Linked DNA regions of Tribolium castaneum. The protein of the gene in region 4 interacts with the protein of the main gene of each other region in a pairwise test. Links are inferred from orthologs where the notes say so. Each region holds a gene or a part of one and is shown on either strand. Other genes may lie near its edges.

The links.
Region 1: the proteins of Rab6 (region 4) and Golgin97 interact in a two-hybrid assay, tested with the Drosophila melanogaster proteins (2 studies listed by BioGRID). The link is inferred for Tribolium castaneum from reciprocal best matches to the Drosophila melanogaster genes Rab6 and Golgin97.
Region 2: the proteins of Rab6 (region 4) and Evi5 interact in a two-hybrid assay, tested with the Drosophila melanogaster proteins (2 studies listed by BioGRID). The link is inferred for Tribolium castaneum from reciprocal best matches to the Drosophila melanogaster genes Rab6 and Evi5.
Region 3: the proteins of Rab6 (region 4) and BicD interact in a two-hybrid assay, tested with the Drosophila melanogaster proteins (3 studies listed by BioGRID). The link is inferred for Tribolium castaneum from reciprocal best matches to the Drosophila melanogaster genes Rab6 and BicD.
Region 5: the proteins of Rab6 (region 4) and Tmf interact in a two-hybrid assay, tested with the Drosophila melanogaster proteins (2 studies listed by BioGRID). The link is inferred for Tribolium castaneum from reciprocal best matches to the Drosophila melanogaster genes Rab6 and Tmf.

What each region holds. Positions count from the first base shown.
Region 1 is NC_087398.1:7,123,104-7,129,409, reverse strand, and holds the start of Golgin97 (golgin subfamily A member 1), read left to right. Parts: upstream 1-2,151; 5' UTR 2,152-2,373; coding exon 2,374-2,749; intron 2,750-2,797; coding exon 2,798-3,015; intron 3,016-3,225; coding exon 3,226-3,486; intron 3,487-3,538; coding exon 3,539-3,784; intron 3,785-4,058; coding exon 4,059-4,502; intron 4,503-5,870; coding exon of another isoform or gene 5,871-5,935; coding exon 5,936-6,306.
Region 2 is NC_087394.1:12,671,519-12,677,064, forward strand, and holds part of Evi5 (ecotropic viral integration site 5 ortholog), read left to right. Parts: intron 1-887; coding exon 888-989; intron 990-1,146; coding exon of another isoform or gene 1,147-1,196; intron 1,197-5,546. UniProt on the Drosophila melanogaster protein: Functions as a GTPase-activating protein (GAP). During border cell migration in the ovary, acts as a GAP for Rab11 and is necessary for the maintenance of active receptor tyrosine kinases at the leading edge.
Region 3 is NC_087396.1:19,858,399-19,863,764, reverse strand, and holds the end of BicD (protein bicaudal D), read right to left. Parts: intron 5,344-5,366; coding exon 4,002-5,343; intron 2,466-4,001; coding exon 2,238-2,465; intron 2,189-2,237; coding exon 1,934-2,188; intron 1,888-1,933; coding exon 1,637-1,887; 3' UTR 501-1,636; downstream 1-500. UniProt on the Drosophila melanogaster protein: This protein is essential for differentiation. It may play a role in localizing of Nanos (a maternal determinant) activity in oocytes. Functions redundantly with BicDR.
Region 4 is NC_087403.1:1,773,658-1,779,924, reverse strand, and holds Rab6 (ras-related protein Rab6), read right to left. Parts: upstream 3,637-6,267; 5' UTR 3,491-3,636; coding exon 3,421-3,490; intron 3,155-3,420; coding exon 3,096-3,154; intron 2,700-3,095; coding exon 2,540-2,699; intron 2,492-2,539; coding exon 2,286-2,491; intron 2,240-2,285; coding exon 2,173-2,239; intron 2,098-2,172; coding exon of another isoform or gene 2,030-2,097; exon of another isoform or gene 1,251-2,029; intron 1,174-1,250; coding exon 1,103-1,173; 3' UTR 646-1,102; downstream 1-645. Other genes in the region: beta-arrestin-1, read left to right, coding at 5,404-5,493. UniProt on the Drosophila melanogaster protein: Protein transport. Regulator of membrane traffic from the Golgi apparatus towards the endoplasmic reticulum (ER). Mediates membrane trafficking during egg chamber growth and organization, possibly upstream of exocyst component Sec5.
Region 5 is NC_087394.1:35,284,550-35,290,895, reverse strand, and holds the end of Tmf (TATA element modulatory factor), read right to left. Parts: intron 5,201-6,346; coding exon 3,761-5,200; intron 2,744-3,760; coding exon 2,425-2,743; intron 2,374-2,424; coding exon 2,112-2,373; intron 2,060-2,111; coding exon 1,623-2,059; intron 1,578-1,622; coding exon 1,194-1,577; 3' UTR 942-1,193; downstream 1-941. Other genes in the region: uncharacterized Golgi apparatus membrane protein-like protein CG5021, read left to right, coding at 1-45, 119-244, 294-497.

The DNA.
Region 1 (6,306 bases), on a different chromosome or scaffold from region 4:
AGTAAATTTGTAGGATTCTACCCTGTTTTTCGTGTGCCCAACTTTTAGTGGCCTACACATATTTGGGAACTTTTGGGGTGGATAAAAATTAATGATTTTTGAGAGGTTTTAGGCCCTATTCGGTTGTTTGCTTTTGGACAAACAGCTAAATTTGTAAGGTTCTGACTTGTTTTTTAAGACGTCAAGTGTTCTGGCCCAGAAGTAACATTCTATACTCTACTATGCACACGTAACTTTTGGAGCACTATTACGTCATGTACTTCGATTCCCGATTTAAAAATGTGCAGTGCTATCTCGGTTCCTGATGGAGATACGGGAACACGACATATCCCATTCGATAGCGCAGGAAAAATAGTACGGTGTGTTGGGGTTTTCAAAAGGGCTGAACCACCCCTCTATCTCCAACAGAAACGAAGATATTTCGCATTTTGTGAATTGCAGATTTTCTTCAATTTTTATAAAAATTTTGATAAGTGAAGGAAAACTTAGGTAAAATTCTGCAAAATTTTAAAAATGGATTTCGTATCAGGATCATAGGAACACAAAGAGGTCTCGAAATTTTTGGCGGCGTTTGCACGCAACCAGTTATACTTATGCGTGTATTTTGAGTTATATATCTTTTCTCATTACCCTTTTGCGTTCCTGTGATCCTGATACGAAATCAATTTTTAAAATTTTACAAAATCGTTTCACTTCAACTAAAATTTTCTCACACTCTTAAAATTTTTATAAAAATTGAAGAAAATCTGCAATTCACGAAATGCCAAATATCTTCGTTCCTGTTGGAGATAGAGAGGTGGTTCTGCCCTTTTGAAAACCCCAACACACCGTACTACTGCCCCGAAGTATTTTTCCTGCGCTATCGAATGGGACAGGTCCCGTTCCCGTATCTTCATCAGGAACCGAGATAGCACTGCACATTTTTAAATCGGGAATCGAAGTACATGACGTAATAGTGCTCCAAAAGTTACGTGTGCATGCAAAATTTGAAGTTGCTACGACAACAGGAAGTGTTTTAATTTTAAGTTCAAAATATTTATAATTCCGAAAGACAACAAACAAAGCAAGTTGAATAAAAACTCTAATAAAAAAACTTCAGCTTTTTTGTTCATAGTCTTTATTTAATGCGATTTATTTGGAAACATATTTTGCGAGTTAATTTTGGGACACTTCCTGTTGTTGCAACTTGAAATTTTGCATGCACACGTAACTTTTGGAGCACTATTACGTCATGTACTTCGATTCCCAATTTAAAAATGTGCAGTGCTATCTCGGTTCTTGGTGGAGATACGGGAACGGGACCTAGCCTATTCGATAGCCCAGGAAAAATACTACAAGGCAGTGGGGTTTTCAAAAGGGCAGAACCACCCCTCCATCACTAACAGGAACGAAGATATTTCGCATTTTGTGAATTGCAAATTTTCTTAAAGTTTTTAAAAAATTTGGAAAGGTGAAAGAAAATTTAAATAGATTTTTAAAATTTTCAGTTTATTTTATAAAAAAATTATACAATAAAATAACAAAAACCGTAGGCGGCGACATCTAGATATTAAGTGTAAAAGTACAATTTTACAGTAACCTATAAAAAAAACATCTATGACTTTTTAAAAAGTAGTAAATTACAGTAACCTGTAAATTAATAAAAGTTTTAAATTATACAAAAAATTTAAAATAAACAAAATCTAGGCGACGACATCTAGACATTGGATATCAAAGTACAGTTTTACAGTAACCTATAAAATCTTCTGTGCTAACTATGGGCTGTTTTCTTAAACAGTAGATTACAGTGACCTGTAATACATTAAAAACAGTTTTAAAATTGCAATGGTAGTTTTCTTCTAAATGTTCTTAAAGCCTTGTTTTTCATATTTTTTTAAATAAACAAAAAAATTAAAAACAAAATTTAATATAAACTTTGAAAACAAACAAACAAAACATAAACGACGACATCTAAACATTGGGTATTAAAAGTACAGCTTTACAGTAACCTATAAAATTTTGTGTGCCATACCAAATTAAAAATTTAGAAAATTTTTGTTACAACTTTAGGTTGAGATTAGATTGCTGTTAAAAGCCGGACAGTTTTTGCATAGTTTTTGGCTCATTATTTTTATTGCAACTCGCTGACTAATTGCAGGACACGCACGCGATTGGTGTGCAAACGTCAGCGGTTGTTGTCACACCTGCCTGTCACCTGTCGGTGAACTACTAATAAAATTGTTAATTATTATCACAGTTATTATCAACAAATACGTGTAAATGCGCGTACCCGACCGTTTTGCCAATAGTTGTGTTCACATTTTCGAAAATTCTGCCACATTTTGCAAAACCAGTGCTCAATAATGCCCGTAAAATAGCTCCAGTGCGTGAAACATGTTTGCCTCTCTGAAAAACAAAATTCGGGAGGAAACTGGCAGCGACCTGTCGAAACTAACCGCGAAAATAACCTCCTCCACGGTCCAGAGAATAGACTCGTTAAGGGGGCGCTCGCACCAGGGCTCCTCCTCAAGCATCAACTCCCTCGTATCGTCGGACGGTGTTAAGGAGGATGGCCCTATCGATTCTGAAGAGCTACGCAAACGAATATTGAAAATCGAGGCTGAATTCACGCGGAAGTTGGATCAGAAGGAACTAGAATGGAGGGAAATAGTGGCCGAGAAGGACAAGCAGTTGCAAAGTCTGGAGAAGGAGAAAGAAGAGGCCCAAAAACAAATCCAGATGCTCAGAGAGACGCTGAAAAGCGCCGAAGGTTTGGGCGTGAAACGTGGAGATTGTCTCTAACCGCTTGTTTTAACAGAGTTCAAGCAGAAGTTGGTGGAGCACCAGGAGGACAAAGAGCAGATTGAAAACTTCCAAACTCAGGAATTAAGCAAAGTCAAACACTTGGTGTTACTGAGGGAGCAAGAGCTGGCCGAGAAGACGGCAGCCTTGAAGGAGGCCACCGCCCAGTTGGAGAAACTCCGCACTGAGGTGTCCCGACTCTGCCGCCAGGAGGAGCAATTAAGTGATTTACAGGTAATAACTCACTCATTTCTCAGCCGTTCCAAACTCCCCCGACGTGTATTGTGTCTCGAAATTAATTTTATGTTCAAGTGTTTTAATTTCCAACAGAGTTCGCACTTGTTTTATTTTATTTGGTGAGCTTCAGCAATCACAGGTATGTGCTTTTGGCTTTTGTGTTATATCGCTTTTTCCAGCACTGTTTTATTAACCGACCACTTTCAGGACGACTTGGAGTCGTTGAGACACTCCAGTTCGCGCGATTTGGCCGCTTTGGCCACCCAGTTGGCCAAAAGCGAGGAGGAAAGGCGTCATTTGTCCGACCTTGTTGTTGTTTTGAGACAGAGAGTGGCCAATGAGACCTCAGACGACGAACATGTCGCCTCTGAGAGGCGCCTGTTGGAGCAGAGGCTCGAAGAGGCGCATTTGCACCTAGCTGACATTAAGACCTCCTGGAGCGATAAAATCGCCTCGCTAGAGACCCAGGTTTTGGTTTTGACCAATGCCCTGTTTTTTGTATTTTAATTGTGACGACTAGGTGGGGCGCTTGAGCAGACAGGCGGCTGAAGAAGGCAGCGAGAGACGGCGGGCGGTGCAGGAGAAGGAAACCCTGGCCGAGAAAGTGCGGCAAATGGAAGCGGAATTAGAGTGTAATAAACTAGAAATTAATAATAAAGAGACGAAAATCAAGCGATTGACTTTGGATGTTGAAGAGTTGTCCAAGGAGCTGAACGCTCTGCGGTCTGAATCTGAAGAGGAAGTTGCGTTCCTCAGGACCCAACTTGTGAGTCGATAAATAACGGGGCTTTCACTTTATTTCACGTTTGCCGACACTTGTTATATTTATTTTGTATCAGTATCCCTGGGACCTAACATTCATTACTTAACACGCTTTGGTTTACTTGCCTTTATTTTATTTCGCTTTTGTTTTTATATTACGAAATAAATATTTTTCACGATACTTTGTATTTTTTTTAGTGCGGGTTAACCCTCTATGTGTATCCTCGCCCCATTTTTGTGCCAATGATTTTGTATTAATTCCGTGGATTCATTTCTAGCAAAATGCCCTTACAGAGGTGAAGGTCGTTCGCAAGAATCTGGAGAACACCGAAAGTGAGTTGGACAGGACCGGGGAAGAGTGTAGCAAATTGAAAATCTCGGTGGATTCGGAACATGAGGCGAACAGTTCGCTCAGGCTGATAATAACCAAGTTGGAGAAGGAACTTAGCGAAGAAAAGACGAATTCGTTGAATGTGCAGAAAACCTTGTCGAGGGTCACTGCTGAGAAAAATACGGCACTGTTGCGTAATGCTGAAGTTTCGCAACAGATGGAGATAATCAAGCAGGAGAAAAGGCGACAGGAGGGAGAAATGAACGACTTGCTTGGCAAACTGAGTCAATTAGAAGAGGAGAGTAGGAAACATAACGAGAGTAAAGCGATGGAACTGGAGTTGAGGAATAACATCGCGGAGTTGGAAGATCAAATATCGGAGAAAAATAAGGTAAAATTGAGACTGTGACAGAAAGCGTCTTTTTGATCAAGCGAAATTGTTTATGTTTCTATTTTAATCTATTTTATGGAGCTATAACGCGAAACGAGGAGCCCGATTTAAAATGTTTAAGAAAAGTGGTAAATTTCTATATTTATACAACCGTGATAACGTAAAAAATAAAGATAAAAATGTGTTTGTTTAATGTTCACGCCTTTTCGTTTAAATTTTTAAGCTTATAATGACAGTTTATCAATAACTCCCGAATTAAGAGGTTTGATAATTTGCTTTAATCTTTATGGACCAGTTAAATTCCCATTGAAGTTATTAATGTTTTGTGAAATTATTTAACAACAAAACAATGGAAGTATTACTTTATTTTAATGTGTGGGAAAAATAAATGGATTAAAATTGATTTGTTTTATTATCTATTATAACTAAGAGAAATGCTTCAGAATAACTCAGTTTTTTGTTGAGAAAAATTTATTGCAGTTGAGGAAGGCTTCAAGTTATTTTAAGTTAATTTTAAATCAACTTGTTCAGTACTTGGAAAAAATTGAGAATGCGTTATTATTTTTTAAACTACGGATACCTAAAGGTTAGGATATGAAATTAGGTACAAATAAAACGTTCTTTTCCTCCATAGTTTCTTTAATCAGTTGTTTCATTATCGTCTACTTATTCCTTCTTCAGAACAACGAATTTTAAAAAATGGTTGTATTTGTGTAATCGTTAACACATAGCAAAGAAAAAATACAAGCAGATAGAGCATTAAATTCTCAATAGAAAAAGATAAACATAATGCAAACATTTTATTGTAACAATATTTAAAAAAAATTCAAAAATATACCAATTTGCACTCAACCCCATATTTTTCAAAACGCTGCCAATACGTTTACAGATACAAGAAAAATGTTAAGAAAAAACTGTAGAAAATTAAATTTCCTACAAAAAAGTCAGCAAGACCATATGTCTTTTGTAGAAAAAATCTTTTTGTAGAAAATTTAATTCTCTACAACTTTGTTCTTTAAACTTCAAGCGTGTTACCAGCGTTCGCAAATTATAAGGTGGAAAGCATAAGATGGTTCCAGATTGTTTTAAATTTATTTAGTTGATAAAAAAATAACATTTAAAATTTTCCGAATGCTACGAATAAGGTACTGTCTGTTTTATTTTCCCTCTGCTTACTATTATTTCAGGCCAGCAATTTTTTATTACATTGGTCTTAAAACTTAAATGGGTTCGAAAAACTGAGCTAGTGATAGAGATATTTGAAGCAAATTTAATTTTCAGTTTTGTTCATTGCATTTTTTATCTCTAAACGAATTTTTCTGTTAGTACTTGTCTTGATTTTTTTTTGTTTATGGTGATCTCACTTAGCTGATCAAGAAGAAGCTTTCTTTTACACATTGTTGCAATATTTCTACAACCATTTTTCCTTCAAGAATATCAAGACTCTCCAGCTGCGCCTGGCCGACATGAAGAAAACCCTGCAGCAAGAGTTGCGAACGCCAGGTAACCCGAATTATCATAGTGACTTAGTGGAAAATTCAGCAGCTATTCTCACTCCCAGTCAAGTATCAACAAAAAGTTTTCCCAGTGTGGTGAGAAGGGACGAAGACGATGTTAATTTCAAATATTTAAAACATGTAGTGATTAAATTTTTAACGAGCCGGGAGTACGAAGCTCAACACTTAACTAAAGCAATAGCCACCTTACTTAAGTTTACAGCCGAGGAGGAAAAATTAGTCAATGATACTTTAGAATGGAAGAGATCGTGGTTCGGCTCGAAACCGAAGCTGGGGAACGGCCAGAA
Region 2 (5,546 bases), on a different chromosome or scaffold from region 4:
ATACGCTGTATGCAGTTACAGTTGAAACTGTCAGATATCTTATAGCTGGTCTTTATCCAATTAATTAATTGGATAATTATAACTCAATTATTCAAATATTTGAATACAAACTCAGTGGCGTCATCTGAAATATTTTAAAGTATACAGACTGTTGCAGAAATCCGTTATGCTACCGATTTTCTTTTTAAAATAAATAAGAATTTTGCAAAATGTTATACAGAAAAGTTGTTGTACTTGATGAGTTTTATTACCTTGTAAAATTAACAGACGTATTTTTGATATATCCTGTATATTTATTTATTCATTATTTCCTGAGAATCACGTATCTTATGGATTTTTTTGAATGAAACAATTTTGTACATTTTTGGATTTAGCTTTTGATTAGTTTTTCTTAAATCTTTAACAAAAACGCTGTTTTATTTTGTTTTTATTTATTACACAAACTGATAATAAAAGAAATTTTTATTATTTTTAAATGTTTTGTTTTTTTGAACTTTGCCTAACAAAAAGAAAAAGCGGTTTGATTTTCCACTGAAGGTAAAAATAATTTTGGGCAGTACAATGTATTAGCTATTTCAAAACTATAAAAACACCAACAAGATTGTTTAAATTGTAAAATAGTTATTAATGATTAGATCTCTCATTGAAAGTATAAATTACATCAGATATTATTTTTTTGAAGTGCATAAATAATTTATAACAGTTAATTTTGAGAGATTATGCGACGTTAGCGTTTTTATAGTTTAGGAACAGCTAATATAGTATATATTTTACAAATTGTTAAATAAAATACTTCACCAACTCGCTGTATATTTGTGTACGTTTCTATTTTGCATTTATTTGCTCTTATTGTGGCGGCTTGAAGTTATTGGATTGTTTGATTGCAGAGCCAGGAAATTGCCACCGAAGGCGAGCTTCGAATCCAGTCGGTCGACGATAGCGATCGAGTTAGAGAATTGCAAGATAAAGTGGCTGATCTTCAAGCCGAGGTGAGTTAATTCGTGTGATTGGGTTGCTGGATGGTTTTATCACACACACGATGTGAAAGAAAAAAGCACTCGCTTTTGCTTCTTCATCATACTAACGTGTACAAAAAATTGCTTCACTGGGGGGTTAATATAGTGTGTGCTAATGATATTTATTTAGTTTCCCACGCCTATCACTAGTCCGGATACTGAGCCGTGGAAGTGGCTCGAGTAAGTGAAATCTGATGTAGCTTTTGGAGTAGTTTGGATGTGGTTGGGGTGTTTGCATGCTTGGTGTAAGCTCGATATCGATGTAATTATTGTACTTTTATTCATTTTAATAATTATGTCCTACCTTTAATTTTTCGTGTCGAAAAAGTCTGAACAAATGTATTATGAAGTGCTCTGTTGGTACAATTTTTAATATTGTAAAATGAATGAATAAAAAGGAAAATTATTAAATTGCGTCATCTCTCATTTGAGATGGGAAACAAACATAAATCTTTACCTTTAAAGTATTTTATACATATTTGTTAATTTCTTGACCTTTTTCATAACAGTTTTATTTAAAAAAGAATATAATTAAACGATTTCTGTCTCTATTGTTTAGTTACGTTCATTATCTTCTTTATTTATTGTAAAAAACACGTAATTAGCTTCAAATACATTTCGGTTTGATTATGTTGTTCCAGGTAAATTGGCTTCGATAAGGCAAATAAGTAGTTAATTAGCCACTGGAGCTTTTTGTTAAAGACACCAAATACATGACTTTTTTCTGCTGTTTTTTTTTTCAAATACATTTCTATTTGTTTGACGGAAAAAAGATACGTAGTCACATTGAAAAATTATTAGACGACAAAAAAATTGCGCTAAATTATTGTTTTCCACTTTAAACATGTTACATATCATTTATGTAATCAGTGAATAATTTTTCTGCAAATTTATTTAAAGAAACTGAGAGTTTTTAGAAATTTACGAATATATAGTTTTTAACATAAATAACAATTTTTTATTTTTACAATGAAAACAGAAAACATACAAAGAAATCAATTTTTCACGCCAATAAATGCAAATGGGCTGTTGCAAAATTCTACCAAGAACTGAAATGGGATATAATACGTCTTTTTATATAAATCGTTGATTTTACTTAGAATTACAAATCAAATTTATTAATTTTAAAAATTAAAATAAATTTAATCACAATAATTTGCCACCAAACATTATAATTCGGTTTAAAACACTAAAAATCATAAAAAAGAAGAATTATTTAACTAAAAATATGTGGGTTTGAATTATTTGGGTTCATTTTAAAAGTAAAAAGGTCTCGTTGTTATTTTTATTTTATTTTAATGGTATCAGTTTCATGTTTCTTTTATGTTGACCTTGCTAACATGCGGCATTATTACTATAGAGCCGAAATAAGCTGAAGAATTATACTGATAACACGAAAAAAAATAAATAGAAATGAAATTCTACATTCAAGCATTTATTTATTGATCGATTAGTAAAGATTAATGGACTCATTCTAGACTACATTTCAAGAGAGTTTACTTCTTTTTTTAAAGATTTTTTTGCACATCAATCCACGGTTTTCTGGAAATGCGTTTGAAGTTAATTAAAATTCAGAACTGTTTTCTTCTTCTTTAGTTAAGACCCTCGTGGTGCTAAACATAAAAATTCAAGGTTAAAAAGCATTTAAATTTTTCAATCGCATCGATATCTTTTTTTCTGAAAAATTATTAATTTTTAAATAACTTTTCCCATTTCGTTTCCGAATTACCCTTAAGTCCCTGTTCACCTGGTTAATTTAAACTTAAAACTGAAGGGGTTAATGGATGAAGAGGCTATGTGCCTAAAACTATTTTTTACACTACGCGCTTTCATGGTTTACTAAGTTAGGACATTATTAAATAATATTATATAATATTAAATAATTATTTAATAACATTATATAATATTAAATAATTGTTTTGTTCAATAAAAAAATAACTAGTTCCAGTTAGAATTAAGTTAGATGTGTAGTTCATTGTTTTATCCATAAATTTTGAGTATGATTTTTTTTTAAATAAAGAAATTACATCTACCTGCACAAGCTTAATTAATTTTAATATTTGTAGATTAATTCTTATCGAAAATAAAATAACTATGAGTTTAGGATGATTATTGGTAATTGAGAATAGGGCTTCAACCATTTTTTTCCTTTAAAGCAATTTTAAACTTAAAAAAAAATTATATAAAAGTACATGTTTGGCATGTACCACATCAAACTATAAAATGATTACACAGCGTATTTCTTCTTCTGGCATCGAAACAAACTTAAAACGCCGCCAAGTGCTTCCAAAAATAAAAGAATTCATTTTTGTAGAATATTTGTCATTTTCTTTAGCAGCAATAACGAGCTCGTAATGAATTCAAGTAGTATGTTTTTGAGCTCTAAGAACTTTAGAAAGCATATTCTAATCGTTTTCAATGTAGTTTATGTCGAAAAAAACCAAGCAGGTCAGGTTAAACGAGCTTTCTATGGGATGAGTGCACAAAAACCCTTATGAAATGAGTATTTAACCTTTTTTATACTTTGCGCATCCTTTTTTCTTATTTTAATTAATTTAAGTTTTGTCGTCTAGGGAATTTTGTGTCAGTTGTTAATGGTAAAAAATAATAAATAAAGAAGAAATGATGATTAAATCGATGTACTTGTATTGTATTCCACGCATTATCGATGAAACTTTTAAAAGCTAAATATCCCTAAATTCGTTAAAGTACACTGTACTTCAATGAGCCTACTGATATATACTGATTATAAACACAAAGTATAAAAATAAATTTTGTAATACCTTGTCCATAGCTTCTTTAGCAATAACTAACTCGAAATGTTTTAGAAAAATACAAAATATCGTGTTAAGCCTATTTTAATTAAAATATACAAAAATCTAACATGGAACCTTTCTTTATGTTTATGTCCATACTGTTCTAAGATTATCGGTAAACAAATTTAAGTTAGAATAAAAAAATGAATTTTTGATAAGACATTTTAGACCTTTATATAAGAAGAAAAAAAATTCTCAAATGATTTTCTGGTAGTTTCGAGCTTTTTTATCTTTCCATCAACTGAAACCGTTTTTAAGTAACGTAAATTGAATGAAGAAACACAAGAAATATTGAATTTTGAGAAATTAAAAAAATATTATGAAAAAACATCATCATAGCTAAAAACCGAAGGCCAATATAGATTCAGAAAAATTTAAATCTTTTATAATCATACTAATTATATTTAAAAGAGGATTTGTTGCAGAACAGTGTTATCTGTCATTATGAAATATATGTTTGCATTATTGAATAAATTATAAACTAAAGATATGAATTTTGATACATTCCTATGCCTCGCGATTGCAAAGTTTAATTAGTTGTAATAAAATTTAACGACGTGTTGCAACTTTTCGTTTAAATAATAAACATCATCAGGCTAAGAAACATAAATTTTAAAAATACAATACAGGGGGTGTTCGCGAAGTTGAGGCGTTCCTTTTAACACGAGACACTATGCCTTATTCTTAAGAGTTTTAGCTTAAATCGTTTTAATAAAATGTTTTTAATAACGGAGATAATTTTGAAATAGTATATTTATACAAAAATAAAACTATTTGTAGAAGAATAATTTTACATTTTGTGCAGGTACGTCAACTGTTGAGTATTTACATACCTAATATTTACACAATTTACTCAATAAATTCACCTTACTTTACTCTAGGCAAATTTTTTTTCTAAAATATAATTTATCTAGTCCACTGCAGTAGTAGGAAGTTAGAAAAATTAATAAATCGATTTTGGGACATCGTCTTAGATAATTTTTGATAGTTAATTTGAAAAGGTCTCCACAAGCAGAATTCAAGAGAATTCTAATAGCAACGGTAATATAATAATTCATAGTGGAAAATGCTTATACTGATTGAGACCTAATAACACTAAATAAAAAACGTGAATTTTAAAATAATTTATAGAATCTGGTACTGGTTTGTTCTCATTTACATAATTAAATTGCTTTGTTTTTTTGGCTTCACAATTTTTTCGATTAACTGAATGTTTGACAAACGTTTTTACTTAATTTTGTAAAAGGTCTAAACGAGTTGTTATGTTTATGGTTGGACATTTTACTAAAATTTACTTAAAATAAAGAAATACAACGGCATACCAAAAAACTATTGGAGGTACAAATTTGTAATTACAATTGAATAAACCACAAAAAAATTAAACATGGGTCTTCTTTCTGAGCTCTTTTGATTTTTCTGATTTTTTTGCGATTTAAAACTTTTGTATTCGCATACATTTATTCCTTCTATATTTTGAGAACAAATTTGGCGATTAGTGGTAATTAGTATTCATTTTATTCGATTTTTCGTCATAAATAAATTTACAAAACGGAAAAAATTCTAACAATAATTGAGAGATATGAAATTATAAGGAGCTTAGAAGAGGGAACAGACGAAAAGGTTGACATAAATTTAACTATGAGAGAACTAAAAACGTAAATACAGCTGAAGCTGTTTAAGAGTGCTCGAAAAAAAATTAATTCTGAGAAAAATC
Region 3 (5,366 bases), on a different chromosome or scaffold from region 4:
TTGTGTTCTCAGTTTTGTTTTTATACTTTCTAATAAAATCTTCATTACTACCACTTCCAGTTTTATTATTGTGGAACTATTGCTGTTTATGAAGTGTGTGTATCAATAGATAAATAGCAAACTTATGTAATGTATATTGTAAATATGTTAGTCATTTTGCACAATAGTTTGTACATCTATTATGTAAATACGCAGAATGACAAATTTGCGAAAGACACTTCAATCGTAAAGTAGCTCTTCCAACTTCACAGTAAATTATTACTCTCTGTTTCTCTACTAGGAGGTATCATATCATTTCACGTGACTTATTTATATTTACTCATGTCTGTTTCATGTTTACATTTTCTTTTGTATGCTGTTTAATAAAAAATATTAAAATTCACGCAAACGTACTGTAATAAGAGGAACTATATTTTTTGTGATTTCTTTGAAAATATAGAATAAATATATCTTTTCTACGCATGTTTTTTTGTACATTCCCATGGGTGCAATAACGGTCCTTGTGATAAAGTAATAATTATATTAAAAATATTAGGTACAATTAAGTAACATTAACCACATATAAGCAATGTTAAAATAATTTATAACAATAAATATCAAAAAGAATATAACAGGTTAGCTGTCTGACGAACGAAACAAACAGAAGATCTAAGTTTCTGTTGGTACGTGTACCAAGTAACAAAAATATAAGTGTTAGAGCATGCACATTTCATTCTCAACATTAAGGATTTTTATATTATTGTAAGGGACGGGCATTTCCGTGGTCCATAGGCTCGGAAACAGGACAAATAATCAACAAACGTCATTTCATGATTATCATATGGACTCAGAACCAACGGAAAAGACGAATTGTGATATCATATTTACTATTAGAATGACGGCAATTCGCCGTCACTTCACAATATTATTCTTAGCCTACGTCTTAACAAGTTTTAACTATTTTTTATAAACCGTAACAATTAGATTTTAGTACCACAGTTAGAAAATAAATGTACGCAGTTTTTAATTTTTCTCGAGACGAAATGCCCTCGAGCGTAGCGCCACCGTGACCAGTCTCGAAGACTAGCGGTTTATCGAATATTATTTTAGTTCACACCACCAAAGAATGACTAACTAACGTATATTGCATGAATCCCTTGTAGGACTAAGTAGACTAAATAAATATGTTAATAACTAAAACATGGTTAAAGTCTATACATCACACGAAATATGGGTCACATCTACCAATAAATATATCATTTCATAATTAAATCCAAGTATAGGCTACTCTACCGTCATAATATTCCACTATTAATCAAGAGATATACCTTAGAAATGCTACTTGAACGTAATCTATAACTAAATCTGAATTACGAAACTTTTGGCAGCTAATTGGCCACTTTACTAAACCGAAAATTAGTACTAGCCAATACAAGTAGAATAAATTAGTCTGAGTATGCATAAAAAGTCGCCAAACCAAACACATAAATGCACAGTTTACCTCACATTTCGTTAAATAAACAATAAAATACTTGAATTTTTGTGAATTGTCACAATTCGTTACGTTATAGCCGATTAAAGTGTAGTGTTAGAAATTTCAAAGTTTAAAGAATGTGGTGATAAATGCAATCGCGTAAACCACAGGTTTCGACCTGCGCTAGAACATGTCTCTGTTCGACCGTCCAGGGCGCTGAAAATTGCGGTTGTTTGGCTTACGTGCGTTTCTGATTTCTCTGTCCACCTCCAGCTCTTCGAGCCGCTGAGTCAGACCCAGCTTTTGCTGAACGGCTAATCTCAACAGCTGGTTCAAAGTCTTCTTCTCTTCTTCGGCTGCGCTCAACTGCTGCTGGAGCTCGTCGACTTGCGTCACGTACTCTTCGCAACGGGCGGCAAACATCGCACGCAAACCTTTAATAATTTTCGTAAAATTTAAACTGAACCAAATCCACCTTACTTGAAAATGTGGCTGCGTCCTCCTTCAACATTCGCAACTCGTTTCGGAGCTTCATCATCGTCTCGGATACAATTGTTTTCTCGTTTTCGTACTTGGCTTTGAGGTTCGTCAGTGCCACTTCGGCAGTATTTTTGTTTGATTTTAGGACGGTTCGTAACGTGGCAATCTGTTCGCGTTTGGTCGACAGCAAACTCTTCAATCTTATGACTTGCTCTTGTAATTCGGCGATTTCTTCGCTGTTTTCATCTTTGCTTGCTAATAAAAAGTGTTACAAAATGACTGACTGTTTTTTTACCTAACTCACATTCATATAATCCATTCGATTTTTCCCTCTTTGTTTTCGATAATTCGATGGTATTTTCAATGGCGTTTCGGAGATGTTTGATTTGGTCCACGATGGTGCAAACATTTCGAGCGACAACAGCCGCGTCATTTAAGACTTCAAGATCGTGCAAGGGAATGTCGCTCTTGAGGCGGCTTCGCAACAATTCGATTTTGGACATTTCGCCAATTGGTGGCGCAGTTTCCGACACTGAAAATCAGAAATTTAAACCGTGACCTGGCCTCGACATTTTAATTACATAAAAAGGCCGAATTTAAATAAAAATGAGACAAAAAATTGAAGTCCGATAAAACATTAAATTCGTGAATGAAAGCATCTGCTTACGTGATCAGTTAATCAGCAATTTAATTGCGGATTAAATTAATTCTTCTATAAGCCAATCCTTAATACAATAAATAAATAATGATTATTATTACAAAAATTCAACCAGATAAATATTTTAAAAACTACAAATTAGCAATTATTATTATTATTGGCTCTGAACTTTATTTTTCATAACAAAAAACGTGTAAAGAACACATATCTCATCTTTGACGCTTTTGATTTAAATTGCTTCTCCCCGATAACGAATCATCTTATGGTGGCCAAGACTTTTTTTAAAAAAGATTTTATTATTTTTATTTTCTAGTAATTGTATTTTTAACTCTACTAGTTTATCATTTTTTTCTCATGTTTTCCATGGAAAATTTTAGTCGTTAGCTTTCTTTTTTTCCAAATAAATAGTGAACCGGCTGAATTAAATAACTGGTTGGATGAAATTACGCAGAGATAACTAAATGTATTCTATTTCGAACAAATTTTTCGAATTTGTGATTAAACATAATACGTAATCATAACGATAAAAGAATTATTTTTTATTTATTTCAATTAAACATAAATGTAACGAACTAAAGTGTAAAACGACTTTATAAAAGATAATTTTTTTAACATTATACTCGTAGAGAAGCTTAATAAGTGTAAAGGACAAAATTATAGAAAATTAAAATGCCTACAAACGGCTTATTTTAGCCGATTTATTGCTTAGAAGTAAGCAAACTTACACAAAACAGATTGAAAACGACATATTTTGACTTAAAATAGAAAGTTAAGTAATAGTTTGGATGAAAATGGTTTATTTCAAACGATTCTTTACTTAGAACGGAGAAAACTTCATAAAACACACTGAAAACGCCATATTCTAACTCAAAAGAACAAATTATGTTTTAATTTAGATGAAAACGGCTTATTTCGAAAGATTCTTTGCTTAGAAATGAGTCAACAGACTGAAAACGCCATATTCTGGCTCAAAAGAACGAGTTATGCTATAGTTTGGATGAAAACGCCATATAAGAGTTTATTGTATCGGAATTTTAGTCATCAGTTTTTTTCAGCTTATTATGAATTTGATTCTCCACAGCCTTCCCTTTTTTTTCAAGCAATTGATGAAAATAATAGTTGAATTTTAATTAATTTAAAACTGCTTGAAGTCTCGTTTCTCGTGTCTAATTTTTCGTAAGAAAAACGCACTTTTTGCAAGAATTATTATTACTGGTATACATAGAAAAAAAAACTCAACTTAATTTTCGGTCAAAGTTATCTCTCATAATTTAATTTTAAATAACAAGAGGTCAGGATTTAAGGGATTCAATTACTTTAAAACAATTTGGTGCCGAAACGAAATATTTTTGAGTACGAAAATTTTTAATACCGTTTCGCCTCTTAGTTTTATACAACTAAGCCACTTACTAGGCGTCATTCCTTCCTTCTCGTGATCCAAAACCACTCTCGTGGGCGTCTCCCCGTTAACAGTACACACATGATGGTACAACTGAGCAAGCTCATCAGTAACAGTTTGTAAATTATTCTGAGTTTCATCCAATGAAGTTCCAGCTTCACTAGCAAACTCTCTCAACAATTTCAAATCGGCCTCCAAGTCCATACTCCTCTGCTCCGTATCCGACAACTTATTTTTCAAATTCGTGATTTCGGTGCGCAGCTGTAGGGTAGCGTCTGAGATATTCGTCAACTTCTCCAATTCACGAATATCCTGCTTCAGCTGTTCGATCTCTTTACAGGACATTTTGAACCACTGCTGGTACTGATTTAGAATTTTACCAGCCTCTTGTGCCGGTTGGGATACATTTTTGTCAACATTCTGCGACAAATGCTGCAAAGAATCGACATGAGCCGCCAGTTGTGTCAGTCTTGCAATGAAAACTTGTAGTTCGCCTTGACTCTTCTCCACCATTGCCTGGTTATCGCGCAAATTTTGTGTCAGAGTTAGTTTTTCCTTCTCCAGTTGTTCCAACTGCTTTTCCAACTTTCTCAGTTCGTTCAAGTGGACTTCGGAGAACAAATCGACCTGTTTATCGTCAGGCGAAGCCAATTCTGAGGCACTTCCACTCCCCAAAGTCGCCTCCAGCCGCTTCAAGCCGGGAATATCGTCCTCACCGTCACTCCCCAAAGTCGGCTCATCGCTCATTCCCCGAATACTGTACGCCAGATTATTGATATTGTAGAACGTGTCTCGGTTAATATGTTGGTCCAGTTCCTTCTTCAGCGCGTATTTGGCCTCACGTTCGGCTTGCAGCGACTCCAAGGCCTCCTCCATGTGTTTCTCGGCGATTTTCTTCAAGTTTGTCAGCTCTTCCACCTGGAGGTTCAACAGTTCCATTTCTTCGTGCAGTCGCCGGATCTCGTGTTTTAGACTTTCAAACTCCACTTGCGAGCTTTTTAAAGCTGAGACTTGTTTTTGTAAGGCTATGTTCTCTTCTTCTAGCTCGGCGTAGTCGTTGATCAAACGATTTTCTCGAAATTTGATTTCGCGGAGTTCCGTTCGTAATTTCTTGCACTCCATGCTTCGATCTTCCTTGTCTTTGCCCATATCGGTGTTCTCCTGCAGCATGCGGTCTCGCTCGGTGGTGACGCGGTCCAACTCATGACGCAGCTGCTTTATTTCGTTTTCCAATTCGATTATTTGGGAATTGAGCGATGTTTCGCGCGCGGCGGATTCAGATAGCAGGGATTCTTCCGTTTCTATTCCAGTTTTAGTTGTTACTTTATGACTAGATTGGAACTTTGCCAAGGCCTATAAAACAAAAAGATAATAAA
Region 4 (6,267 bases):
TCCTCAGCAAAATTACTCATTATTTCACTTGTCAAGTGAATCACTGGTAATATTTGAAATTGCGAATGTATAAGATAATTTACTATTCGCTTTAATATAGAAAATGAGAAAAATCGGCATTTCTTTATATTTTTCTCTTAATTATTTGTATCTTTTCCCCTATGTATTTTGTACTATGCGAGCTTTTTTAGCAAAAATGCTCGAACAGGTCAATTTTCTTTTAAAAAAATACAAAATGCTTAACTTTATTTAGAACAGCAACACTTTGTATTTTGAATAATGAACGTCTTCGGTATGGTGAAGCCGTTACGGCTTACAGCTAAGGGACGTCTGCATAATCTCACTTTTGATTTTTTGGAATGTTATTCTATCTCTCATGTTACATGAAAATTATTACAATTAGGGGGTTTCCATTTTTGTCTAAACAAATTATTTCCAGTTTAAAACGTTATTCTGTAATTTTCCCGCTCACTGGATAGCCATGTGTGTGTTTGTGAAAGACACTTATTTTAATTTTTAGCTTCATCTTTAGTTTACTTAGTCACAGTTCATGATGGCTGAATTTTTACTTTAAAAAATATTAAACAGGCCTAAGAAGAAACGGTTGGAAGGTGAATGCGTTAGCAGGGTTATTTAAGGAGAGTCTTTTTAAAATGTATTTATTTTTGATAAAAACTGAATGGTACATAACAACGTAACAAACAGAATGTCAGCTGAGGAAGTTGCCATAGCATCCCGAAATGAGGGTTTATGTACATCAGACTTTTGTAATTATTGTAATATTAAGTGCAATGATACATCATCAATGCCAAGCTATAATTTGATTTACATGTCCATATATGTTAACACGATTGAGCTTAAAACCGACAAGAAAAGAATAAGCAAAATGATTTGATAGAAAAATGAGAGATCACCTCGTACACAGTTTAAAGTCTTGTTACATGAAATGCAATTAATTGTAACGGTGGATGTTCCATGCCACACATAAAGTGCCAATTGCAAATAAAGTCACACTTATAGCTTTTCAACGTCAACATAGGCAGAGGCTACTTTGGTTGTTAGTTAAACTAAATTGGTTTGTTGAACAATTAGATCTAGGTTTTCAGCACATACAGCCCCCTTCTGAGTCATGTTGGTCGTTTTGAAGCTGAGGCTGCGTTTGTAAGTCCACCGCTGCGCCGTTGTTAAGGAAAACCTGGCCAGACTCGCACATGCACTACAATCATGCTGAGGCAAATCATACAATCCACATTACGAAAAACTTTATTAAATGCTTGTCAATAAATTACTACAATAAACCTAAAACTAATCGCACCGCTTTGTACCCATTTGGAGCTCGTCTGCGACTAGCCCCTGGATTGAGAATGCAATTAAGATTACACACCGTTTTACTATATTAAAAAAAGTATAAACATCCAATATTGCTGGGTCAATATGTACAGAAGGAACTAATTAGCAAGCAGCGGACTAACATGCAAGCTGTTCTCTGTAATGGATTAAAGCTGGGCCAATCTCATTGTGCGTTATGACACTAAAATGATTTATCCGCAGTTTGAAGGAATGTGCTAACACTAATTTCGTCATCACAAATTGAGCTTACATAATATCGTGGATATCATATTGCAGGTCGACACATAAACCGATGAGTTGGTTTGATTTGCTCAGGCACGGCGACAGTCAACATTTATTTGAACCGATTATCAATGGCTTAAACTATGTGATATGTTTCATGAATGTCCGATAATTGAGCCAAATAAACGGCGTCCTTCTCGATTAGTTTGTAAATAAGCACCATATTAGTAAACGTTGTATCAACTGAATAAAACTGATCGATAAATGTAACGAAGAATATCTAAACCAATTATATTTTACACATAAATAATATTACGATAGTTTCTAAGCAATTAAGGCAATACTTTAATTAAGAGGACAAACCCCGATTCGACAATATGTACAACTTATGGTCAGTCGCTCCAGAATTTGTCATATTTGTAAGGTCTACACAAATATTGATAAGTAAAAAAGTTGTTTAGCATGCACAGCCTCCGTCTGGGTCTTTAACTTCGTTCGGTGTGTCTTTTAACACGACCTCTTGCACTAAGAAAAACATTAAGGAAAATAAAAGAAAATTGTGCAAAATAAAATCATGCGCATGCACTGGCGAAAGGATACTGTCTTCTGGTGGTTTGTTTTCCGTCGAGTCCATCCCCGGCAGCGCGGCGGCCACACGTCTAAACAACTAAACAACAAATTCAATAAACAGCGAGACCGCGGGAGCAATGTACCTGTTTAACATTATATCCAGCTTTCGCACTAGTTTCAATAAACATGACGTTCAGCTCCTTCGCCTTCCGCTCGCCTTCCTCCGTGCTGACCTGCCTTTTGTCAGAAAGGTCTGTTTTATTGCCGACGAGCATTATAATAACGTCGCTGCCTCGCTCCGTCCGCACGTCGTCGATCCATTTAGAAGTTTGATGAAAGGAGTTGGCATCTGCAAATCTCTCATTACCGCCGGTCTTTCCCCGAAACTCATACAAACTTGTTATGTCATAAACTACGACAGCAACGGTCGAATCACGAATGTACGAGGGTATTAACGACCTAAATCGCTCCTGGCCGGCTGTGTCCCACAACTGCAACCGTACGGTCCTGTCCTCGAGGTACATTGTTTTTGATAAGAAATCAATTCCTATAGTCGCCTACAAAACACAGTTTCACAAACACCTTCACCTTGACTTACAAAACCGCAAAACTTATCAAATTCCAAATACAAGCGAAATAGAAGTAGGTGTGTGTGGGACGACAATCGAAATCGCCCGGCCCACCGTATCGATTATTTTTTACGATTTGTAAATACTTACCACCGGTAGCCGGTATAACTTATTTAGGGATGTTCGCGGAACTCGATCAATAAACTTTTAAATCGTAATTAGAGCCCTAGCAAATTTCGTTTTAATTAAAACCGGGCTCGTGGCTGGGGCGGCGAATCTAATTACATCTTAATTTTTGGCGATTTTGCGGAATTTACGGCGCTACCCCCGAGCGTAATTGCGGTTTAATATTACATTTGGGTGATAATGGTCCGTGGGACTCACCTGGTAGGTGTTATCGAAGCTGTCGTACATAAACCTTGTTATTAGCGACGTTTTGCCAACTGGAAAAGAACAATCAATTGGGGCGCTTGATCACTGAATAAAAAGTTATCAGTTTTATCAAAACATAACCTAGAAATGATCTGTCATGTAGGATGACGAGTGGTCAAGTCGGGAAAATCGATATGAAAAATGAAGCCTCGTCCAGCGTTTGCCAATCGATTAATTATAAAACAAATAGGAGGAATGTTGCGAAACATGACTTTTATTGATCTTTTCACGGGTCTGCTTGAAAGTTTACAACTCATCAAGAAACGTCAACACTCACCACTTTGTTCTCCTAAGAAAACTAGTTTAAATTTTCGCAAGGGATTACCAAAGTCTCCTGACGTCGACATTTTTGTTAAAAACTTAACGATTCTTTTAAAAACCCTGCAAATTGCGAATTTCACAGTAAAATATCACAGGAAAACGAACTGTACCGACTAAACCAATGACAGAATACGCCACGGTAGCGACTCGAAGTGACTGCAACACTGCGCATGTTACATTTGGGAGTGACCAAAAAAATTAAAATCATAAATATTTTACATTGGACTAATAATCAGGCCCCAAAAAACTGATCCGATTCGTGAAACTAACCCGCAAAAAAGCCCATTTAATCCACCCGCACTTTGCGCGAAAAAACAAATCGGGACAAAAACGTTCACAATGCCAGTCCGGGCCAAAAATGCTCGTAATTAACAATTCGGTGCCAATTTGTAGCTTAATAACTTTCAAATTCAAAATTGCAAGCTTGGGTTTGAAATTGGTGCGCGTGGCATTGCCACGAAATTCCCCTAAACGGGTGTATTAAGTTGGCTACAAGTTCAAAATCTGGTTTTGTTTCCGCAGTCTTTGGTCAAAATTTTGGTTTTTTGCTTGGAGGCGGCCCTTTCGGGCGCCGGGGCCGGGGCCCCACGTCGTGGCGGCGTCCTGGGTGTGCGTGCCCATGATGGTCGGTTGGCAGGTCTGAATCAGCATGCGCTTCAGTTGCTTTATATCCCTACTCCACTCCCCAGTTTTCACAGTTGGGAAGTTGGACAAGGCCCAAGGTGTTCCAATGGGAAGACCATCGAATTGTTTGGGGTTGTGAAATCGTAAATTTGTGGTTATTCACCGGTTGGTCCCGGTGCCCGAAGTCCACCCTCCCTGGGGCGCCTCCTCGCATAGTGCAGTTCTGTTGGTGTGCATTGGACGTGTAGAGTTAAATTTTAGGCACTTCCAGGAAAATACTGTACACGTAAGTGAAAATCGGTGGTTTTTGGGATCAGTTTTTGGGTTTGAAGGTCGGGAGGGTTATTTTTGTTGTGTGGCTGTGACGAGTTGTGTGAGAGGATTTAATAACCTGCAAAATTTTGGCTGCGGTGGAATTTCGAGATTTGGTTTTGGATTTATGTGCCATTAAATTAATGGGCCGTTCGTAAACAGATCCCTTTTAATTAGGCCAGGACGGTCTAGGAAATTGATTCGGGATTGGAGGGCATTCGTGTGGCTGTTTTTGCGAGCTGGATTGATAAAAATTATCTCACGTATTTCAGAAATCACATCGGTTTTTATGACGCAGAGGGGCCCCTTGTAGTCAATTAAACCTCATAAAGATATTAGATTAACTTGAAGACTACGTTTCGATTGGCTCGGGAGTTGTAAGGGCAAATTTTATTGATACCTATACCTTGCCAGATTATATGTGTGTGTTTAATAGGCAAATAAAGATAATATTGTACAAGATACGGCTCCAGTGCCCACCTTTAAACAACCTCGGCTCTGAATCATAGGAGATGAGGAGTTGAGTTCACTCGGAAAAGTCTCCTGCAATTACTTAGGTGAATCATATTTCCCTTTAAAGTCAGTCCTCTTTGACATCTCGAATAAATATAACAAACGATACTCTGCGAAGTCTCAAACTTCGCTAATCAACACCGGCGTTTTGTTTTAAACTTTCCAAATTAATTTCAGCTATCTTTTCATCAAGTCATGTTTAGCCCGAAATTGATTTATAATATTTATGAGAGTGAAAGAGCGGAGAATTATCTCTGACCGAAGCACATTAAGTAAAAAGGCCCAAAACCCACAACCCGGTTATTTCCCAAAGGCCATTAATTCAATTTTAATCAGTCCGATCTTAAATTTTCATCGAAATCAATCGAAAAGTTCGTCAAAGCGGGCGAACCCTCCGTGTGGCAATTAACATTTTGTTTGCAACTAACCGAACTTGATTCAGAGTGTCGTTTCAGGTCCGTCAAAATGATTTTTTTAAATTTCGGTTAAAATGCGTAGGAGTAATTTTTTCGCGTCGGTCCAGAGCTGGTTTTCGAATTTGTACAATGCTCGGATGGGCCACAATGAAATTGACAAAGAGGTGAGTTGTGTGGTTTTCGGCTTTTTAATCAAAGATCAGGCTAATTGCTCAGAAAATATCGTTTAAGCTTGCACCTGATTGGCCGTATAAACGAAATTCGAGTGAACTGATCACCTCGTTACACCAGCACGTGATGTAATATCGACTCTTTGATTGCTCTTTATATTGGTTCATCAGCAAGTCGGCCTTTATGGAAATAAAGCAGGAGGGAAAAATTACTTTTCTATCACATATCAGACTCCTGCATCAAATCGAATAATCGTCAGCCGGGACCAAACCCGGGAATTCCACTTCAACGAATCACTTTTGACGGTTTCATTGAATCGATACATTATCGCAATTACCTAATATTTATCAAATACACAAGATAGCGAGCGAACTAAGAAGAGTTTCGACGATACTGGGAGTCATTTGGACTTGTTAAACACCATTAAAATTATTGTTAATTACAGTGTAATAGCGATGATAATTCCTAAATAAGTGTGACTGCGCGGAATGTTGTTTCATTAGTTGTTGAAACCGAAAGTTGTATACAATATTTTTTCTAAGATTAAATGAAGTCGTTAAATCGGGCGCAATCGGGCAAATATTTAAAAATAAAATTTTATGGTGTAAATAAATATAAATATTGTTGATTTAGCATTGCGCCTGATGTTTAACCAGCTCCCAGGCCCAGAATTGCGATTCTAAGGTGTTTAAAGAATGTACTGTAATTGTCGCTGAATAAATAATTAGGACAGCGTTTTCGTCATTGTGTTATCGTTTGTGGTGTGG
Region 5 (6,346 bases), on a different chromosome or scaffold from region 4:
GTGGACGATGACGGAAAGTCGCACTGGGTCTTTGAATCACGCAAGGTTTAACTGCTTGCTTAACTTTTCATTTGGCTTTTTTGCTTTGTTTACTGAATCAACATTTGGCCCATTTCAGGGCCGGTGGCAGAACCGTGTAAACGAGCGAGAAGCGAGAATATTTTGGATGGCTTTGGTTATAACCCCCCTGTTGTGGGGCGTGTTTTTCATAACTGCTTTGTTTTGGCTAAAACTAAAGTGGATGGTAATGTTTCCGTTCCTCCAAAAGCTGGGTTTCATTAATTTTGTTTTAGCTGCTCATAATGATAGCGTTGGCTTTAAATGGGGCCAATTTCTATGGGTATTTTAAATGTAAAGTGGGTTCAAGTGAGAGCTTAAGTTCCGCAACCACAAATTTTCTCAGGAAACAAGTTTTACAAAATGCTGTATCACTTGTTACACGTGAGGCTACCGCCCCTCAAGCAAATCCCATGAGCCAGCCATCTAACACTATTTAATAAATCGACCCTCCTTTATTTATAAAGTATTGTGATAATTAAACTTAATTCCACACCTACTAATTCGCTTATTTTATCGTTCCTCGTTAAAAGACAAAGAAAATTATTGAAAAAAAAAGTGCTCTAGGTGAGGCTCGAACTCACAACCCCGGCATTGCTCACGACTACTGTCTTATAAGTACCGTGCGCTAACCAATTGCGCCACTAGAGCTATGGAGAAATCGGCGCAAATGAACAATTAAAAAGAAACGGCACTTTGATAAATACATAATGTGTAAAATTATGAATAATTTAAACTCACTGAACATGAAACGGTTCCGGAACGTGTTAAATTTGCACAGTTATCAATTTTTAGTACGTTTCTGGCACAACAATCACGTTTTTGGTGCTTTTGCACATTGACAGTTGCCCACGGCGGGAAGTTTGAAATGAAACAAGTTGGCGTAAACACAACATTTATTTCAGTTGGAATTTTGTACAATAATTTGAAGAGGCTATAATTTATATCACAGGTTAAATTTTAAGTGAAGTATATTCCTTACCATGACAAAACACCAAATATCAGCATGTGTTAACTGATAACGTAATATTCCCATATGATAAAAACCGCAATAGAACAACAAACACTTTAATCTCTTATCTAATCAATAAAAATTCATATAAAAGCATCTCTGTACACGCTGGATAATAATAACTTTACAAGTTCTGTTTTTGCTGTTTCAACAACTCATCAATCTGACTTTTGTACATCTCTTTCACGTCTTGCAAATCAAGCTTCAGTTCTTCGTTTTCTTCAACTTTCTCGCCAAACAACTGGCAAAGAGTATCATACTGTTGCTGTAGCTCACTATGTTGTCCTTTTAAAACATCGTATTCCTGGACTTTGGTTTCAAGTTCCTCAACACGGGTCAAAAGCGACGAGATTTCTTTATTCAAGAGCGCCCTCTCTTGTTCCCTCCGGTTCAACTCCCACTGCAATTGTTGCAATTCACCGTCGCGCTGTTTCAAGTTGGTTTGAAGCATTTGCATCTCGAACATGTTGGTGTACCTTGGCGGTTGTCCCCCGTCAAAGGGCTCATCCTAGGAAAAAAATACAACACAAGCTAAAAAAAAATCGCACCTCACCTGCGACCAAAACGAGCTTCCAAGCGATTCCGCCACGGAAATTTTCCCCAGACTTAAAGTTGGCGAATTGCTCGCAGTGCGCGGCGAGTTTCGGCCCAAATTTGGCGCATCTTCAGTGCTTTTCTTGCGCTCGGATTCACTCGCTGATTTCTCCAGCTGTTCTTGCAAACTGGACGCGTTTTGCGCCAACTCGGCCACTTTGTGTCTCTCAGACACTAACTGTTCCTTCAATTCGTTAATTTCACGACCTAACTCCTGTTCGGAGATTTGTTTTTCGGTTTTATTCTGCTCCACTTCCACTCGAAGCAGCTCGTTTTGGTGCTTAAGCGAACTTAGTTCCGATTCCAAATCTGAAAGTCTAGTTTTTAGAGTCACAGACTCGTCTTTGACCGTCCGTTCTGAGTTAAGGGACGTCTGTAATCTAGTTTGCAACTCATCTGAAACAATACAAGTCACAAAACAAAAATTAGGCAAACACTACAACTTTACTTATTTTAAGCGTCATTTCTTGTTCAATTCTTTCAAAACTGGCGATTTTCATCGTATGTGTTGCTTGTAACGACTCCAATTGTCTCACCAAAGGCTTACTAACTTCAAGAACGGATTGTGATAATTCTTCGTTTCTGGCCTCAGCGTCCTCCAAACGCCTCAAAAGATCGTTGTTTTCTTTACGTAGCGACTGTTCTTTTTTCGCGTAGTCTAAATCGAGTTGTCGCATTTTTGACCGTAGTTCCTCCAGTTCGTTAAGAATCTAAAATTGGGCACAAGTATTAAACAAAAAGCGTTAATTATCACGAAATACCGCTGCGTTTTGTGACTCCGTTTGCTTTTTTTCGTTCTCTAAACTCTCCAATTTATGCTCGCGTGCGATTAACTCAGAACTAGTCTTGTTCTTGTCGACGAGTTCTTTTTTCGCAGCGTCTAAAGACTTCTTCACGGTGTCATACTTTTGTGTGAGGTCGTCGAGCTGACTTCGGAATTTATCAACTTCAGTTTCTAGTTTTTTATTTTTTGCTGTTAGCTGGTGAACTGCTTCGATTTGCGACCTTTCAACTTCCTCTTTTGCGGTTAGTGAACGCTTTAAACGGTCAGCTTCAGACGACAAGTCCTCAATTGTTTCTCTGGAAATAATTATTTTCACCGTAAGTGAGCAAAACAACGTCGTGTGCAAGCGTTAAAAAACAGTTACATACAAGTTTTTTTCTACATAGTAAGTAAATAAGCAAAACAGCTATGAACGAATGGTTGGCAGGTTGAATTTAAATTAATTTAAAAAATTTGTAAGCTTCCCAAAGAGAAAGAACTTTTTTGACTTTTTACTTTTACTTTTTACCAAAACTAAATGTTACAATGAGGTGACCAACGGTACTATTCTACCCAGGACAGTACTCTTACACTATATAGCAATAAAAAAACAGCTAAATGTTCTGTTTTTTTAAATTTGGTCAAGTCCTTATGGTGATGGTAAAGCAATTATTTCGTCAAAGAAATATAATGTTCCACAATGAACAAAACAGTACATGTGAAAAAAAAAAACGGTAAAAAACTGTAGACATATATAGTTTCTGTAGACATATGTTTTGACTGAGAAAACAGAGAAAGGAAGGCAAACAAAACTGGATAAAGAATAAAGAAGATGATAAGTTGCAGATACGTGACTAAGAACAGGAAAGAAGAGAGAAATATTCTTGCCAATACCGATTTCGGATAAAGAATAAAGCTTAGAATACAGAATAGAAGATAAAAAATAGTACAAAAGGAAGGGAATAAAAGCTAAACCAAAAAGAAGGAACAGGAGACAGAAAATAGAGCAAACAGGAGAAAAAAATTCGGAACATAGATCTATAAGAATTTCTTTTCTTATTTTACCACAGGAACCCCTTTCAACATAATAATTTCGACTGAATTTTTTATTAGTTTATTAATTTTATATCGTTTTTGTGTGTTACCGACTTTAAATTACTACGCTATGCATAACTATTTAGTTCGAACTTTTAAGAATAACATCTCGATAACACCTAAAAAGTAGTGTTTTCTTAGATTTGTACTAAAATAATCTATTTGCTTGATCATATGATTTTATATAAAAACGATTGGAATAATTTGCAATTTTTTTGCATCCCGCAGAGCAAACTTACTTTAAATGTTTGATTGTTGACTCATTTTCCTTTTCTTTCGCCCTCAACTTCTTGATAATATTCGAATGTTGCAACTGCTGTTTGGACAACTTTTCCCCCTCCTCACGCAACTCCTTAATAATTTCATCTTTTTCGCTTATAAGTGAGTCCAAATCGCTTTTGCTGAGCCTAGTGGCAGCCTCCTGTTTGCTCTGTTCCAGTTGTTTCCTCAGCGTGTCTTTTTCCCGAATTGCTTGTTGAAACTTTTTCTCTAAGGCGGACAAACGCTGGGTATATTCTTCAGTCACTTGAGACAAATCTGCAGTTTCCAATTGCTTGGTAAGCATCGAATCGAGCTGATGTCGCAAGTTGGTGTTCAACTCTTGCAATTCGGCATTTCTCCTATTGATATCAATTAATTTCGATTCTCTGGACTCCAAAATTTCGGTCATTTCCGCAATCCTTTTGATAAGCCGATCAACTTCGGATGAATGCGAATCATCGCTCACGCTCGAAGTTTCCGACAATTCTCTAGTGTGGCCTTTGGCTTTTTTCATCGTCATTTTGCACAAAAGATCGACTTTGGTGCCGTCTGATTTATTTTTCGTGCAAGTTTGCTTGGCTGGGCTTTGCCTACTTTGCGTACTACTCGAATCTCCGTTCGGACTTGAAATAATTTCAATATCTGATGAGGTGGTTGTTTCCAATTCATCACCAGAGGTGTGTCCCGAAGACCCGATTTTGACCAAATCGGAGCGACTTTCCGAACTGACTGGCGAATTTTCCCGAGGCGGCATATCCAACTGACTTATGGAAATGTTCTCCAAAACCACATTTCCCTGACTTGAGTCGATCATACTCTGAGTCAAATCCATAAAATGGCTGGTTTTCGTTGCACAATCGGGCACTTCCGGGCTTTTTTCAGTCATGGCATCAGCGATTAAATTTTTCAAATAAACGGAATTTTCCGTCACACTTGTGTCGCTACTACTGTCCATTCCGCCGTCTTTTGCTATTACAGTGCGGTCAGATTGGGAACCTTCATCACAGGATTCGATTTGTCCTTCCACGTTGTCTTCCTGAGGTATATCGATAATGTTGGTGTTTTTCAAAAGGTTGGACAAGTCCTGTCTGCTGCTCTGTGGCTGGGTGTCTATTAGTACTTGGTTGACTTGTGTTAGAGGTAAATGCATGCCACTTCGACTGGGTGCTCTTGTGATTGCATCGGCGAAAGTGTGGTTTTTTTCGGGACTGAGTGGAATGTCGCTTTCGGGCATTGATGTGTTATAGGTGTCTTTTAGCATTTTTTGGGGTTTGAGGTGGAGGAATGCTTGGTCGAGGACTGTGGCAGAGGTGCTTTCGGAAATCGATGTGTACGACATTGTGTCTTCAGCGACGCTCTCTTCTTGGTCTTCGGGGATTACTTCCACGCTGTCGGGAGTGTTCTTTTCCGCACATGGGCTGAAAGAACATATATTGAAATATGTGTGAAAAATGAAAGTTGAAATTGTAAATGAAATTAAATTAACGAAAAATGTATGTGGCGAAAAAATGACGTCTTCTCTTTATTCTGAATGATTTTTATATTTTTAAGGCAATTAACACACTGATTTATCTCTGGAAAAGTATACTCTGAATTGTTATTGATTCAAAAAAATAATAATAAAGATATGCATCAAAAATCCCCTAAATGTACTTCTCTGTATACAAGGAGACTAGATCAAAAGCCTTATTAAATTGTCATTTTTAGAAAAAAAATTTTAATCTAAATTTAGAAACCACGTGAGAACTTGAATAATTCAAAAGTACAAAAAGTGCTTTTTTTACAAAATTAAATGACATTTTTTAAGACTGCAGTGTTTGACATTAAATGTGGTGTAAACTGTCGAATTTGATTTAGGTATAACAACAAAATAATAAAAACATAGGTCAGGTCAGTTTACGTAGTGACAGTTCTGAATCACCCTAATAGGTAAAATAATGAATCCCCGGAGAGATATGGAGGTAACAATTTTGAAAGAGATTAATTATAATCATGGAAATATTTTTCAAAGAAATTACATTTTGTAATATTCCCAGGTGATTTAATGGCACATTGTACCGATTTTGTGTATTTTTTTTATTTTCAGTAGGTCTGTGCCATGAAAATGAGAGAATTCGCTACAAATAGGAGCAAGAGTACTTGTAGAAGTCATAAATTTAATCACTCAAAACCTCTCAAGTTTTTTATTATTTTTATTTCAGAAATCCCACTTTAAAAATAGAAATTTTATTATGTAAAAAAATTGGAATATTTTTGTGGTTTGGCGAGTTGCTGCCACACGGTGTGAATTTGGAATTAAAGCATTTAATTAAAGAGCATTTTAAAAATCTTTTATTCAACAAATAAGCATTTGTTCTTAGGTAATTATGAGTTTTTATTTTTTTGGAGGGCGGTAAGCAAGGGTAACTACCTTTTTATTGTGTAATTTGTTTATAAAACCTGACTTTTATTCATTGACAATAATAATTAATTAATGGTCGAATACTAGCCTCCTAAACTTTACACCTATATCGACCACAAGGTGGTCATTCTCGGGTAAGTTAAAATAAAGTTTAGTAGATAAC